Linked DNA regions of Drosophila melanogaster. The gene in region 2 interacts genetically with the main gene of each other region. Each region holds a gene or a part of one and is shown on either strand. Other genes may lie near its edges. The genes, in order: mTor and REPTOR.

Region 1 (6,825 bases), on a different chromosome or scaffold from region 2:
AGAGAAACTCCCTTAGATTATTATCTGCAGTGCGTACATTGTCCAGCAAATTGGGAAGCACTTGGGCCAAGTACGGCACACATTTGATGCCCAGGCTCTGGAAGATAAAAGTAACCGCCTGCACCACGCTGGTGTGACGTGTACTTAACGTGGGATCCCGTAGAATCCTCATCAATGCAGCTATGGCCACAGCGGGATAATACTCATCCAATGCGTTACCCATGTTAACTAGCAACTCAGCGGTGGAGATGTCCTGACTTTCATCGACTTTGCCATCGGAGTATGCTATTAAAACATTATCCTTTTGGCTATCAATCAAGCCCTTGTTCATCTTGTGCTTGTAAGGATCCATGGCTCCCAACAAGCCCAGCACTCGTATCGTTTCCCTTCGAATGGATCGACGTTGTTCCGTTTTAAGGAAATTAATCAAAATATCTATGAGCACGGGGTACTTGTGATATGGGGTAACCACCCTGCCTGTTGCACTGATTAACTGTCCCAACGTCCACAGAGCCACTCCTCGCTTATCCGGACTGCCAGCGTCGCCCAGCATTTCGAGTAAAATGGACAGAAGGTCATCTGCCCACAATTCCATTTCATCGGAGCCTCCATTAACCTCTGCTAAATCACCAATTGTGCGAAGCACATTTAAAATAACTCCTGGATTCGATTCCGGCTCATGCAACTTGGGCACTAAGGCTTTGAGGATCGGATTCATGTAAGAGGATATTAGCCTGGGCGTGCTTATCACCAAATGGTCAAGCATCTTTGCGCTCTGCTCCTTGTTTCGACTCATTCCCGAGTACTTTAGATCCGTGATCAATTCGATCATGGTGGTTCTTAGCTTGGGCATCACATAAGCCGGGTTTATGGACGACAATCTTCCAATGGTAACCATTGCCAGCTCCCGGATCTCAAAGATTTCATCGTGCAGCGTAATAAATAGCGAATTTAGAGACTCTGGCTGAGCAAGCTTCCCATCAAAGGTCTCGTCCAGCGAACGTAGAATTCGTATTCGCACATTACAGTCCATATCAGTAATGGCTACCATAAGCAGGCGCTCAATCACGTGGGAAACGGTGTCGCTGAGGGTCTTGGAGTTCTCCATACTTTCAGAGGATTGCACTGCCAGTTTAAGGAGTCGTGTGCATGTTTGCACTGCCTCCAGACGAATCTCCTGCTGCTCGTGAACGATGAAGTAGTCAGCACATCTGAAAAAGAAATCAAACCTTGTAATATAACTAAAATATAGTAAATTAAATTAAATTACCGTTGCACAAAGTCCAGCATGTTTTGCTCCTCAAAGTTGAAGGTACCCAGCGTTTTGAGTGCCAGCACTGTGGTTGCTCCGTCACCATTCTGCATTAGCGAGCCATCGATGGCGATCGTTGGCAAAGCAGTGTATGGTAAAATTGCCGCCTTGTTCATCAGCACCTGGGATAGGATTCCGATCAATCCTTCTGTAATGGCCGACTTAAGCTGCGGCACATTCTCGGAGAGTTCCCTCAGGCAAACAGTCAGAGCTGGCGAGAGACCCGTGTAGAACATCTGCTCAAGGATATCCTTAACATCGTCGGCGATCTCCGACTTAACGGCATGAGCAAGAAGCGTTATGCAGGCAAAGACCGCAGGATCCACTGGTACCTTTCGTTTGCTGGTCAAATCCTTTGACGGCAAGGCGACCTTCACGCTAGTCATTATACTGGATAAATGAACTTCGATCGCACTCTGCACCGCTACAGCCATGTAACCAATGGTTATGTACGCCACCGTGCGATCCTTCTCCTTGCCTCGCAGGATCTGCATTAAATGCGACACGCATGTCTGCAGGTATTTTTCCACAAACACCGCGCGGTTAAAGGCAGCCAATCGAGGAAGTATTTGAAGGAGTGCCTGCTGTACATACGGAGACTTCGAAGTTCGCTGCTCCAAAACATTGTCGCAAATGGAGGTGTAGTGCTCCTGAAGGATCTCCTGAGCATATGCGGACTCCAGTACGTTGTGCTGCTGGATGTCGATATTATTAGTTACTTGCTTAAACATAACTAAATAGTTTGTATTTTAAATTAACAAACATTAAAATATCTTTTTTGTAATGAACAAATGGAAAATATACTATTTTAATACAAACATGCTTGTCTAAATGATTGCCGCCCCACAATTACTACTGGTAACGAATCACACTCTACTGCTACATTTTACACAATTTTTAAACTATAATTAGGTCAGCTGATTTCCTCCCGTCAGGCATCGCTTGGTTTTTAGATACATGTAAAGTACATACTACGTAAACCAAAAGGTAAATAAATGAAAATGACAAATACATTCGTGTGTGGAGGTATTTGATCGTTAGACTCACGCTCGCGAACTTGGCAACTCCTTTGTGATGCTCTCCCTCACCCAAATGCGTTTGGGTGCTGCCGAGCTTGTCAATGAAGGGCACCTTTAGCCGCGGCACTAGAGTATTCAGCTGGGAACCCATACTCGACGAACTGCTGGCCTCCAGGAACTTATTGTGTTGGGTCTTGGGGAACAGCGTCTTCAGAGACGTGTAGCGCCGCTCCCAGGTGGCATTGGCACAGCGAAAGAGCTCGTTGAAGACGACGAGGCCACCGTGAATGCGATCGTCTCGGGTCACGCCTTTCTGATCCTTGCTAGAGCCCAAGTCTGCATTGAAGCTTCCATTCGCCTCGTCATAGCAGATTCTGTACCACTGTGGTTCACTGGACTGCTTGGTGCTCTCTCGCTGAGCGGTGACAATCAAAGCCGCCCTCAAAGCCTCGCCAGCTGACTCTCGTATAGCAGGTTTGGGATCGAAGATGGCGTTAAAGATAACCTCGAAGAAGGTCAGGATGTGCTGGTAGAAGTATGTGGGCAAGGCGATAGCCAGCTCACGGAGGATAAAGACGGCTGAATGGCGGCGGTACTGAAAAAAATAATATATAAATGAATTTGGATAACTCTAGCCATGCTTACAACTACTATTTTCATTTTCATTATAAAGTTTTTCCATCTTCATCTCAAAATCAGACTTAAAAGCTTAATTTGTAGGTTTCCCTTATAATTCACCTCTTGTCTCTCGCCTCTGAGCACCTCAAAAGCCTTCTTAATATCAAAGTCGAAGGAATCGGCGCCCTTGGAGGTGGGCATGTTGGCCAATTTGACCAGGGAGCGGGCGGCAATCTCCATGACGGACACATCGTTGATTAGCAGAAGATCGCGCAGGCGGTTGAGATAGGGCGAAATGCCCTTCCTGGCAGTAAGACTGCCCTCGCAGTTAATCAGGCACTCTGAAAGGGAAGACGTTAAATCCTCTCAAGCACTGCCGGGGAGCCAGGAACTCACTCATGGCCAGGGCACCGCCTTTTTTCTCGTTGATATCTGTCGCATTCACCATCGTGAAAATGTGATGGTCGAACTCGTCGAAAAATTGGGCCAGCTCCTCCTGGGACATTTCGCGTAGCTCGGTCTTCACATAGAAGAGCAGATCCTGGGTTGCCTTGTTCTGTACATTCCGGTTGCGGGACTTAAGCCCGTTGACGAACTGCTGCACCACCGACGTCGTCGACATGGCTGGGCAGGGTTTATTCACTATTTAAACGCGATTTTCACTTGCATTTGGGAGGGGAAAGGGTGGAGCAGGTGCATCTGCCTGCTGTCTACGGACTTTGGAGGTTATCTTTTCAGTTGCCCCGGGGCGCTGTACGCACTGTTCCACTGGTCACTCGATAGGATTTCATGTGCCGGCACCGGTGCCGAACGATCTCACACGGATGCAGGTCCTTTGCTTTCTTTAATTGCGGATTACTTCGGTTTTTACGGAAATTTATTGCAGCCGCTGCCGATTAGTGATGTAAAACAGAATTCGATCAATTTACAATCGATATTTTCTTGCTGATACTTCTGTACTTGGCGGCGACTTATAAGCATTTAAAATGTTAGAGAACATATTAAATAAAAATAATAAAGTAATTAATAAATTTGTTCTTTATTATAAGCAATTAAAAAGAAATTGGCTTAAAGTTGTGGTACAAAACATTTATATTACTGGAGTGAACAAGTTGCATTGAAGAATTTGGAAAATAGCACAAAAATGCAAGCTTATGTTAAATTTTTAATAATTACCAACAAGTATTTCAAGATTTAACTGCGGAATGTGCTAGTGGAATCCGACTATTAATGTATCGTGACGTGCGTGAGTTTGATGTGAGCCCATCTCTATAGAGAACCTGGAGCCCTCGACGATAACCGATAGATCAATACTAGAGTGAAATCAAAAAAGCAAGAGAATTTTCATAAGAGCTGTTGAAACAAATGTGAGCTTATTTAATTTTAGAGCAGCTGAAAAAGCAGTTTTTACGCCACAAAACCACTGACCACAAGGTGTTGAATGAAAAGAAAGTGTGAAAATTGCTTTTGTGATGGGTAAAAGGTGGAAAATTCACCTTGCCGTTGGTGGCATGTGTGAAAATTGTATTGGAAAATCGATGCTGTGCTGCGGGGGTGTGAAGCTTTTCACTGGGGGCTGCTGCTGCACATCAGCGCCACCTATGCGTTTCCTCGCGGAAAACGCTCTCTCATTCGGGGGCATGGAAAATGCGTGTTTTTGTTTATAAGAAAAACGGTTACTTTTTCCCACAGCCAACGAACGATTTGACCGTTACCGAAGCAGAAGAAGAAGAGCAGCAACCGCGACCATGTCCAACTTGAGGAAATTCAAAGACGAGGAGCGCGAGTCGGAATATGGCCGTGTCTACGCGGTATCCGGACCAGGTAAGCGACGTCACCAGCGTCCTTCATGCGCTGACCCCCAAGTTCTGTAATCCTTAATCCTGCCTTTCTTCTGTTCTTAATTATACTCCTCCACATCTTCCTTTTTATCCTTCCTTATTATCCTTCTCCTTTTCATATTTCTGTATGCTTTCTTCCCCCTCCTCCTGTTCCGCATAATCTTCCTCATTATGCTGCTCTCTCCACTCCTTGCTAATCATATTTCTCCTGCTTTTCCTCCTTCAACAACTTTAAATCCACTTCAGTGGTCACCGCTGAGGCCATGTCTGGATCAGCTATGTACGAGTTGGTCCGCGTCGGCTACTACGAGCTGGTGGGCGAGATCATCCGTCTGGAGGGCGACATGGCCACCATCCAGGTGTACGAGGAGACCTCTGGCGTGACTGTCGGCGATCCGGTGCTGCGTACCGGCAAACCTCTTTCCGTGGAACTTGGACCCGGCATTATGGGCAGCATCTTCGACGGCATCCAACGTCCTTTGCGGGACATTGGTGTCATGACCAACTCCATCTATATACCCAAAGGTGTCAACACAACTGCTTTGTCGCGCTCGGAGATGTGGGAATTTAATCCGCTGAATGTGCGGGTGGGATCCCACATCACCGGAGGAGATCTGTATGGAGTGGTACACGAGAACACGCTGGTGAAGCAGCGCATGATTGTGGCACCCAGGGCTAAGGGAACCGTTCGATACATTGCCCCCGCGGGCAACTACAACCTGGAGGACATTGTCCTGGAGACGGAGTTCGACGGCGAGATAACCAAGCACACCATGTTGCAGGTCTGGCCAGTGCGGCAGCCACGTCCCGTCACAGAGAAGCTGCCAGCCAACCATCCGCTCTTCACGGGCCAACGCGTCCTTGACTCGCTCTTCCCCTGCGTACAGGGCGGCACCACTGCCATCCCCGGTGCCTTTGGCTGCGGCAAGACCGTCATTTCGCAGGCAAGTTGCAAATTATTCACTTAATCCACATCTTACATCTCATTAAATGACCATCCCTTCCAATCTGCACTTCAACCACCCGTAGGCCCTGTCCAAGTACTCCAACTCTGATGTGATCATCTACGTCGGTTGCGGCGAGCGCGGTAACGAGATGTCTGAGGTACTGCGTGACTTTCCCGAACTGACCTGCGAGATAGATGGCGTCACCGAGTCCATTATGAAGCGAACTGCTCTGGTGGCCAACACCTCCAACATGCCGGTGGCTGCTCGTGAGGCCTCCATCTACACTGGAATCACTCTGTCTGAATACTTCCGTGATATGGGCTACAACGTAGCCATGATGGCTGATTCCACCTCCCGTTGGGCTGAGGCACTTCGTGAGATTTCGGGTCGTTTGGCTGAGATGCCTGCCGATTCTGGCTACCCGGCTTATCTAGGAGCTCGTCTGGCCACATTCTACGAGCGTGCTGGGCGCGTCAAGTGCTTGGGTAACCCGGAGCGCGAGGGATCCGTGTCCATTGTCGGAGCTGTGTCTCCTCCTGGTGGTGACTTCTCCGATCCCGTGACCTCCGCCACTTTGGGTATCGTGCAGGTGTTCTGGGGTCTCGACAAGAAATTGGCCCAGCGCAAGCACTTCCCCTCGATCAACTGGCTCATCTCCTACTCGAAGTACATGCGTGCTCTGGATGAATACTATGACAAGAACTACCCCGAGTTCGTGCCACTACGCACCAAGGTCAAGGAGATCCTGCAGGAGGAGGAGGATCTGTCTGAGATCGTTCAGCTGGTGGGCAAAGCATCACTGGCCGAGACCGACAAGGTGACCCTGGAAGTGGCAAAGCTGCTGAAGGACGACTTTCTGCAACAGAACTCCTACTCACCATACGATCGCGTTTGTCCCTTCTACAAGACCGTGGGCATGCTGAGAAACATCATGGCCTTCTATGAGACCGCCCGTCATGCCGTTGAGTCCACAGCCCAGTCGGACAACAAGATCACATGGAACACCATCAGGGAATCGATGGGCGGAATTATGTACCAGCTGTCGTCAATGAAGTTCAAGGTGAGTGGGTTTATCTATTCCAACTATT
Region 2 (7,034 bases):
GAAATCAAAGAAGAGCACGAGGAATCCTCGCCAGCAACTGGCATTCGCATCAAACAGGAGCCCTTGGATGAGGAGCAGGAGATGTGGGGACGCAAGGCGACAGTTGTTAAGGTTAAGGATGAATTCTCACCATCCAGACGAAGTTCACCCGTCAGAATTAAGCAAGAAAAACGCAGCAGCTCTAGGGATTTAAGCCCAGCGAGATCGAGTAAGCCAGCAAAGCGAGAAGAGAGTCCTCAAAGGGGGCGAAGAAGGGCGGGAAGCTCAGATCAGAGTCCCACCAGACGAGGGCGAGATGGCGATCAGTCTCCGCCACGCCAAAAGCACAGGGATTCCGATCAGAGTCCACCCCGAAAGGCCAGGAATGGCAATCAATCGCCAGTCAGAAAAAGGCGGGATTCCGACCAAAGTCCGCCAAGAAAACGAACGGGAAAAGCATCACCCACTCGAAGGAGAAGGGATTCCGATCAATCGCCACCCAGACGCCGCAGAAGTAACTCCGATCAGAGTCCGCCAAGGCGACGTAGAGACAAGGATTCAACTCCGCCCAGAAGGAGGAAAGATTCCGATCAAAGCCCACCTCGAAGGCGTAAAGCAGACGATCAATCTCCGGTGCGAAGGGAAAGGAAAGACTCCGACCAAAGTCCGCCTAGGAAACGGAGAGACAATGACCAGTCTCCAGTGCGAAGGAGGCGGGATTCAGATCAAAGCCCGCCCCGAAGACGCAGAGATGACAAGCAAACGCCGCCAAGGAGGAGAAGAAACTCCGATCAAAGCCCGCCAAGAAGACCCAAGGATGTAGATCAATCGCCACCGCGAAGAAAACGAGACTTCGACCAAAGTCCAACCAGAAAACGAGACAAATCACCACGCAGACGTCACGACTCCGACCAAAGCCCGGCCAGAAATCACAGAAGTCGAGAGCGCAGTCCACCGCCTCGTAATCGCTTCAAGGAAGAAAGGAAAAGTCGCTGGGCCAAGGCATCGCCCAGCAAATCAGCATCTCCACCTCCGACACACAAGCCGAAATCCACCAAGACACTAGATGGCAAGAAAGCTGGACTGCAGGATGCGAAATCGCTGAAGAAGGAAACCGACGAAAGGCGTCGACAAGAACATGAACTATTCGAGAAAATGTCCAGCGAAATTTCCGGTCGTGATGGCGATGTGCAGGTGCGCAGTACTCGCAGAAAGGGACACCGAGCACGAGATGCCGCCAATGAGGATCCCGCCGAGCAGGGCCGCAAAGAGGAGCACGAGAAAAAGAAGAAGGAACTGTACGATCGCTGGGGCAAGGGGTTGAAGCAAATAGAAGATCACAAGTCCCGCCTGGAGGAGATGGTCCATGAGGCCTCCAAACCGGTGGCTCGCTATGCCAACGACGAGGATCTGGACAGGCATCTGCGCGAACAGGAGCACGCCGACGACCCGATGCTGGAGTACATGCGCCAGAAGCGCAAGAAACGCGACCAGCAGGACAACAAGCCGGTGATGCCCAAGTACGAGGGCAGCTTTCCGGAGAACCGATTTGGCATCCGACCAGGATATCGCTGGGATGGCGTCGATCGATCCAACGGCTACGAGCAGCGTTGGTTCGACAAACAGAACGAACGGCGGGCCGTGCAGGATGAGGCCTACAAGTACAGCGTGGAGGATATGTGAATGTTGCAAGCGTTGTTTGCTTTCGTGTTGCAATAAAGATGTAGGCACTGCCTGTAAAAAAGAAAAGAGCAATTACATTGATCGTTTTCTTTGTTTTATTGAATTATTTTGGAAAATAAAGAATGTAAATAGGTAATATAATATTTAATATTTATTTACAAAAATTTGATTTTCGAAATGCCCGCCACTTTCCCGCCAAATCGACGTGCCACCTGCAACACTGGTCGCCAGCGCAATGCAACCCTGTGTGTAGAATAGCGGAGCAAAAGCGAATGGTAAATAGTCTTCATCTACACCTGCGACCTGCTCGTCGCTCCCAAAAAATCGTTTCAAAACCACGGAATAAACCGTGTAACTGGGGAAAACCCATTGTAATTATCAAGTTTAAAGTGTGCCGCACATTTTGGCTTCAAAACCAGAATAGGTAAGTGACATCATCTGCTAAATAGAAGCATTCTAAGATTTTTGCTTTGTAAGCAATAGAGTATCGATGTGTGTGTGTGTATGTAAATGGTTCTGCTTTTGGTTGCTTTGTTGCTGCTTTCGTTACAGCGAACAAAGCGTAAGCAACTGTATATGTGTATCGAGTGGGACGCCAGTGGTGTGTGTTTGTTGCCCCGCCCCCAATAATTAGCATAAAACTCTCTTAACCACAACAAAAACACCACAGTCGTGTTGGTTTGTGCATTTGTGGATTGGGATTTCGGTGGTTTTCCTTTTTTTTTCAGCTGCTTTGCCTGCCCTTCGCCTTCAGCCGCAATTGTCGGTCAGCCGATGAAAAACCAGTTTGTTTGTTTGTTGGCTTGTAGCTGCTGCTGCTGCGGCTGATTGTTGTGATTTTGTTGTTGCTGCTGGTGCTGCTGCACTGCAATTTGCTTGGCGCAAAATTGGCGCCAAAAGCTTTTCAGCTGCAGAAACGTGTGGAAATGTTGAAATGTGTACGTACCATTCCAATCAGGCATTTGGCGCATGCACGCGCCTGTCGCTCGCTGCAGCTTCCATCTCGCTCGCTCGCGGCGGGATGCAAATACCGCAATCAGCTTTCGTTCTATCTCTTTCCCGTTGACACACATACACACTTCCGCACATCGCATTCATTCATGACACTGCTATTTACTCCCCCTCTCTCTCCCCTGCCCCTCTACGTTCTTCTTTTCGATTCCTTGTGTGCCATTTCGTGGTCTGCTTTTATTTCGCTTCATTTTGAATTAATTGCACTTCGTTAGATTATTATTTTTGCACTCTAACAAAGAGCCGTTCGTTTGGATGTTACTTTGTGTGCAAATGAAGATTTAGCCAATTTACACAATCGTAAATTTAATTTGCGTTAGTGTATGTAAATCCATAATTTTCAGTTTCTATTTCCTTTTAGCAATCAAGTGCTAATTTGATCAATTATGCGCCTTTGATAAATAAATAAATAATGCAGTAAATTTATTTGTTTGATATTCTCTTTAATGTTGTAATTGTGCACTTTTCATACATATTATACTCCTTTGTTCTTAAAAATGCATAAAGTGAAGGTGGTTTTAAATTATGCTATAGACTTTGATTTTTTTAAAAGGTATTGACTAATTGAGTTTTTTAAACTTCAAGTTTACTCATTTTAAATGCATGAAAAACAGTTCTTTATAAGTTTAACTAGTTTTTAGTTATTTGTTGTTAACGGCAGATATTACACGCAATGGACATCGCAAAGATGCTAATTCTTTATTTCCCTAAGATAAGGGTAAAAATATCAAATATCTGTTTCTGAAAGTTTGCCTATTTTGCTTTTGAGCATGAAAACTTTCTTCAACTTTTCTTGGGCACTTTGTGTTTTTGAATGTTCTTTGCATCAGACAGGCTAAGATCAGTGCTTGGCCTTCTTCGACACATGGCCCTCTTAACCCCCCCAAAAAAAGGGGGAGAACCATAAACTGATGGCGCAGACACCCCAAGGAAACCTTCGCTGGTCCAAAAGCAACCCCCAGAGCAAGCTCAACCCTTGTCCTTGGCCCTTCCTTGTGCATTTCCTTGGCTTTTTCCTCGCGAATGGGGTGCTTCCAAGGACCCAGTGACATGACATTGTAATGGCTTAGAAATTTACACGCATCCCATGCTGAGTACGTGTGTTCCAAGCACCCCTTACAATCCACAGATTGATCCTCCCCCTTGGTCTTTGCTCGGAAATTGAGGGGTTGGTTTGTGTCATGCACTGTCAAAAATATTTATTAAATTACCAATATCTGAAACTCTAAATAAATTTCCCAATAGATGTAAAATCAGCACAAGAAATTTGCTATTTTCAAACGCCTTTTTTATCATAACTTGGCTAAAAATGTACTCACATTACAACATTTGATAGTTTTGTGCAGCTTATTATCCCAACTAACGATCTATATCACTTTTTTGTTCATATTTGGAATTTCAAAATTTTATGAATTTTGGATTTTTTGCAAGGGGTAACATCATAAAATTTTGAAAAAAATTTAACAAAAAAAAAAATTTTCAAATTTAAATGCCAATTGATTTAGAATTTTATAACGAGTTTTTTGAGATATGGCATTCCATATTGTGGCTGTTTTTTATAAAATTATGACGAAAAAACGAACTATTATGTGCGGAAAATTAGGCTAAAAAATTATTGCAAAATTTCATATTTACGAATACCACAAATATTGACTATTTGATTTTGATATATTTGAAATATTATTTATTACTGTTTATGTATGTACCAAATTGTTTGCAGTGTAGAATTTTGGCACAGTGATTCGGGTTCTTTAAAGCGTTTTTTAATTCCTTCACATGCTGGAACAACATAGGGCAAAGTTATTCAAATTCCTTTTGTTCGAAATCCTGTTGAATGGCAAAGGGAATTTCAATTCGGTTGATTCGATGGAATTTCCTCGGCACCACGTGTTCCGATCCTGGGATTTCCAATGACTCATACGCTTGGGGTTGTTGCTAGGGAAGCTTCTGAGTGGAGGAACTTCAGTTGGAATTGCCTTCTCGATCCTGGAACTTCCAATCAGTTTCTTTAATGGGAAAACTAGCGTATACTAATTCCTTAATTATTACTTTACCGACTTCAAGCTGCTGGAGGAATAGGAAGAGGGAAAGTCTAGGGGACTTACACCCCGCTAGGCCAACAAATAACTAGAGGAAAACAATGGAATTTTCATAATTTTCCTGGTCCATCTGGTTTTTCCCCCCTGCTTTGTGAACCTTATCCTCTTAGAACAATGCTGTGTAAAAGCGCCCCGCTGGAAAAACTAGTTTCTCCGCTTTCTTTCGATCGGAAAACAGAAGGCGAATGCCTTGTAACCAGTTTCTGCTAATTTGTGCACACGTGCAAATCCTTGGACAAAGGATCCATTGATAGAAACTCGTTCCAGCCCCCCGCCCGAGGCGAAAAGAAAAAAAAGGAAAGTGTTGGGTTCAAAACGCCGCCGGCCACTGACACAGGAAATTAAGGTTAATTCATCAAATTTTCGAAAAAGTTTTCTTCAAGAGACGGTCCGGATGGAAAATGCACTTTTCTTGGATCATTTGTCACTCGCATAATTAGATGCTTGTTATGACATCGCTGGGTTCAAAGTGCGAAGCATCAAGTGGTGTCGAGATGAGTTAGCATTTTAGGATCACTATATAAGAAAATTGGATGATTATAAATGGGAGTTTAAGTTGAGTTCAAGTGGTGTAGAGTCAAAGGATCTCGCAGGATCAACAGGGATTCTTGACGAACCAAAGAACGAAACAATCTTCTTCTCTTCTAATAAATTGTATTAAATCTGACAAAAGTTGTAGAAAACAACAATTAGATGGAATAAAAATATATAGAGCTATAATTCTCATATTAAATTTCATACCAAGAACTGACCTTAGATGATCCTCAGTTGGAGAAATCCTTTAACAACACTTCCTCCACATAACCATTTAGAGCTCGAGAGCTTCTGTTCCAGTTTGGAACCATAAATCAAGATCCATTGTTCGTTTCACGTGGATTGTTCTACTTACCGTACTGCTTACAGAACTTTGTAAGACAGACAATGGAGGGAATCCAAAAACAGGACTCGCGAAGGAGACAACCCGCTGCCCTAGATAACCATGAAAAGCATCCCGAGACTCTTTTTATTTTCATTATTACTACTTGCCCGAATGCCAAATTTGAAATTCCAGTTTGCTTTCGAACAAAGCACACGCATATGGATCAAAGGACATTAACTTGGGTGTTTTTTTTTTTTACGGGGGGGAAGCGAAGACAGCTTGGCTCGAAAGGATCTGCTCTGGCAATGGGAACAATATAAAATGGGAGATGGGAGCAGGACAATGATATAGTAGCGATTTAACTACCCTTGGTAGTTAAACTTATGCTACTTTTATGTTTTCCCAATAAAAACAGTTCCGTTTCTATTCACTCATTCTTCAGATTTGTTTTCTTAGTTCCTTAGGTGCGCTTTCCCCTTTCCCCTTCCGCATTCATTTCAATAGAAATGTAAATAGGAAATTTTAATAATGATTGAAATGAGTTTTTCGCGTGGAAAAAGCAATCGTATCGAAACGGAACCGAATGGATCGGATCTTCGAAGAGGGTTGCTGCACCCCATTAAAAGAAACTGCATGCGGCAACCCACAGTTAAGTATGTAATTTTCTGCCATCCATATGCAGATTTGTAAGGACATAACAATCTACGAGATGTTCGCCATAAAAAGGAAAAACTTAGAGGGGGAAAAAAGAAGTGTACGAACTGCCACTGACATCGATGATTTATAAACTGTTTTTTAATCGCCAGTCGCGCTGCTTGTCGCCAATTTCCATATCCATTTGAAATTCTCCTTCTATGTGCTATATAATTGAGCGTTAAAGAGCGTGGAAAATGCAAATCGGTGGAAATGCCAGGGGGGGGGGGGTTAACGAAAGCGAGGAAAATTAAGTGGAAAGTGACTTTTTAAATAGGCCAAACTGTACTTGTGCGAAATGAAATTAGTGGTTGCGTTCAGGGGTAATAATATTTAAGTAAATGTTACTTCGTTCAGCAAACATTAATGCTCCAATATAAAGGGGAAATCACTTTAAGTATGCTACTAAAATTAAGTATGTAGCATTTGAAAAGCTGAAACTTCAATCATACTTAACTCTTTTCCAGTGAAACGCCATTTCACTTGAATTCCTATAAACTTTACTAATGGACTGTCCATCAAATCGTTTTCTTGGAAATAAAAGTTGTTTTTTCGCTGTCCAAATAGCACATAATAATTGAAAGTTTTACTGTACCTAGTTTATTTTTCTAAAATTCACTCACTCATTCATGGAAGGAAACTCCTTGCCGCCAGCGCTTTTCCACCCCGCGTCGTTTGCTGGCTAAACAAAAAGTTAAATCGTCTACGAA

Evidence for each region.
Region 1: of REPTOR (region 2) and mTor, changing one suppresses a phenotype caused by changing the other (phenotypic suppression), as found in Drosophila melanogaster (one study listed by BioGRID).

What each region holds. Positions count from the first base shown.
Region 1 is NT_033779.5:13,001,532-13,008,356, reverse strand, and holds the start of mTor (mechanistic target of rapamycin), read right to left. Parts: upstream 3,878-6,825; 5' UTR 3,572-3,877; coding exon 3,346-3,571; intron 3,291-3,345; coding exon 3,070-3,290; intron 2,927-3,069; coding exon 2,360-2,926; intron 2,008-2,359; coding exon 1,271-2,007; intron 1,212-1,270; coding exon 1-1,211. Other genes in the region: Vha68-1 (vacuolar H[+] ATPase 68kD subunit 1), read left to right, coding at 4,698-4,773, 5,037-5,734, 5,820-6,797. UniProt on the Drosophila melanogaster protein: Promotes cell and tissue growth, maintains tissue homeostatis and controls responses to environmental stress and aging. Regulates growth during animal development by coupling growth factor signaling to nutrient availability. Central regulators of autophagy.
Region 2 is NT_033777.3:24,577,765-24,584,798, reverse strand, and holds the start of REPTOR (repressed by TOR), read left to right. Parts: upstream 1-1,934; 5' UTR 1,935-2,086; intron 2,087-7,034. Other genes in the region: CG13625 (uncharacterized protein), read left to right, coding at 1-1,662.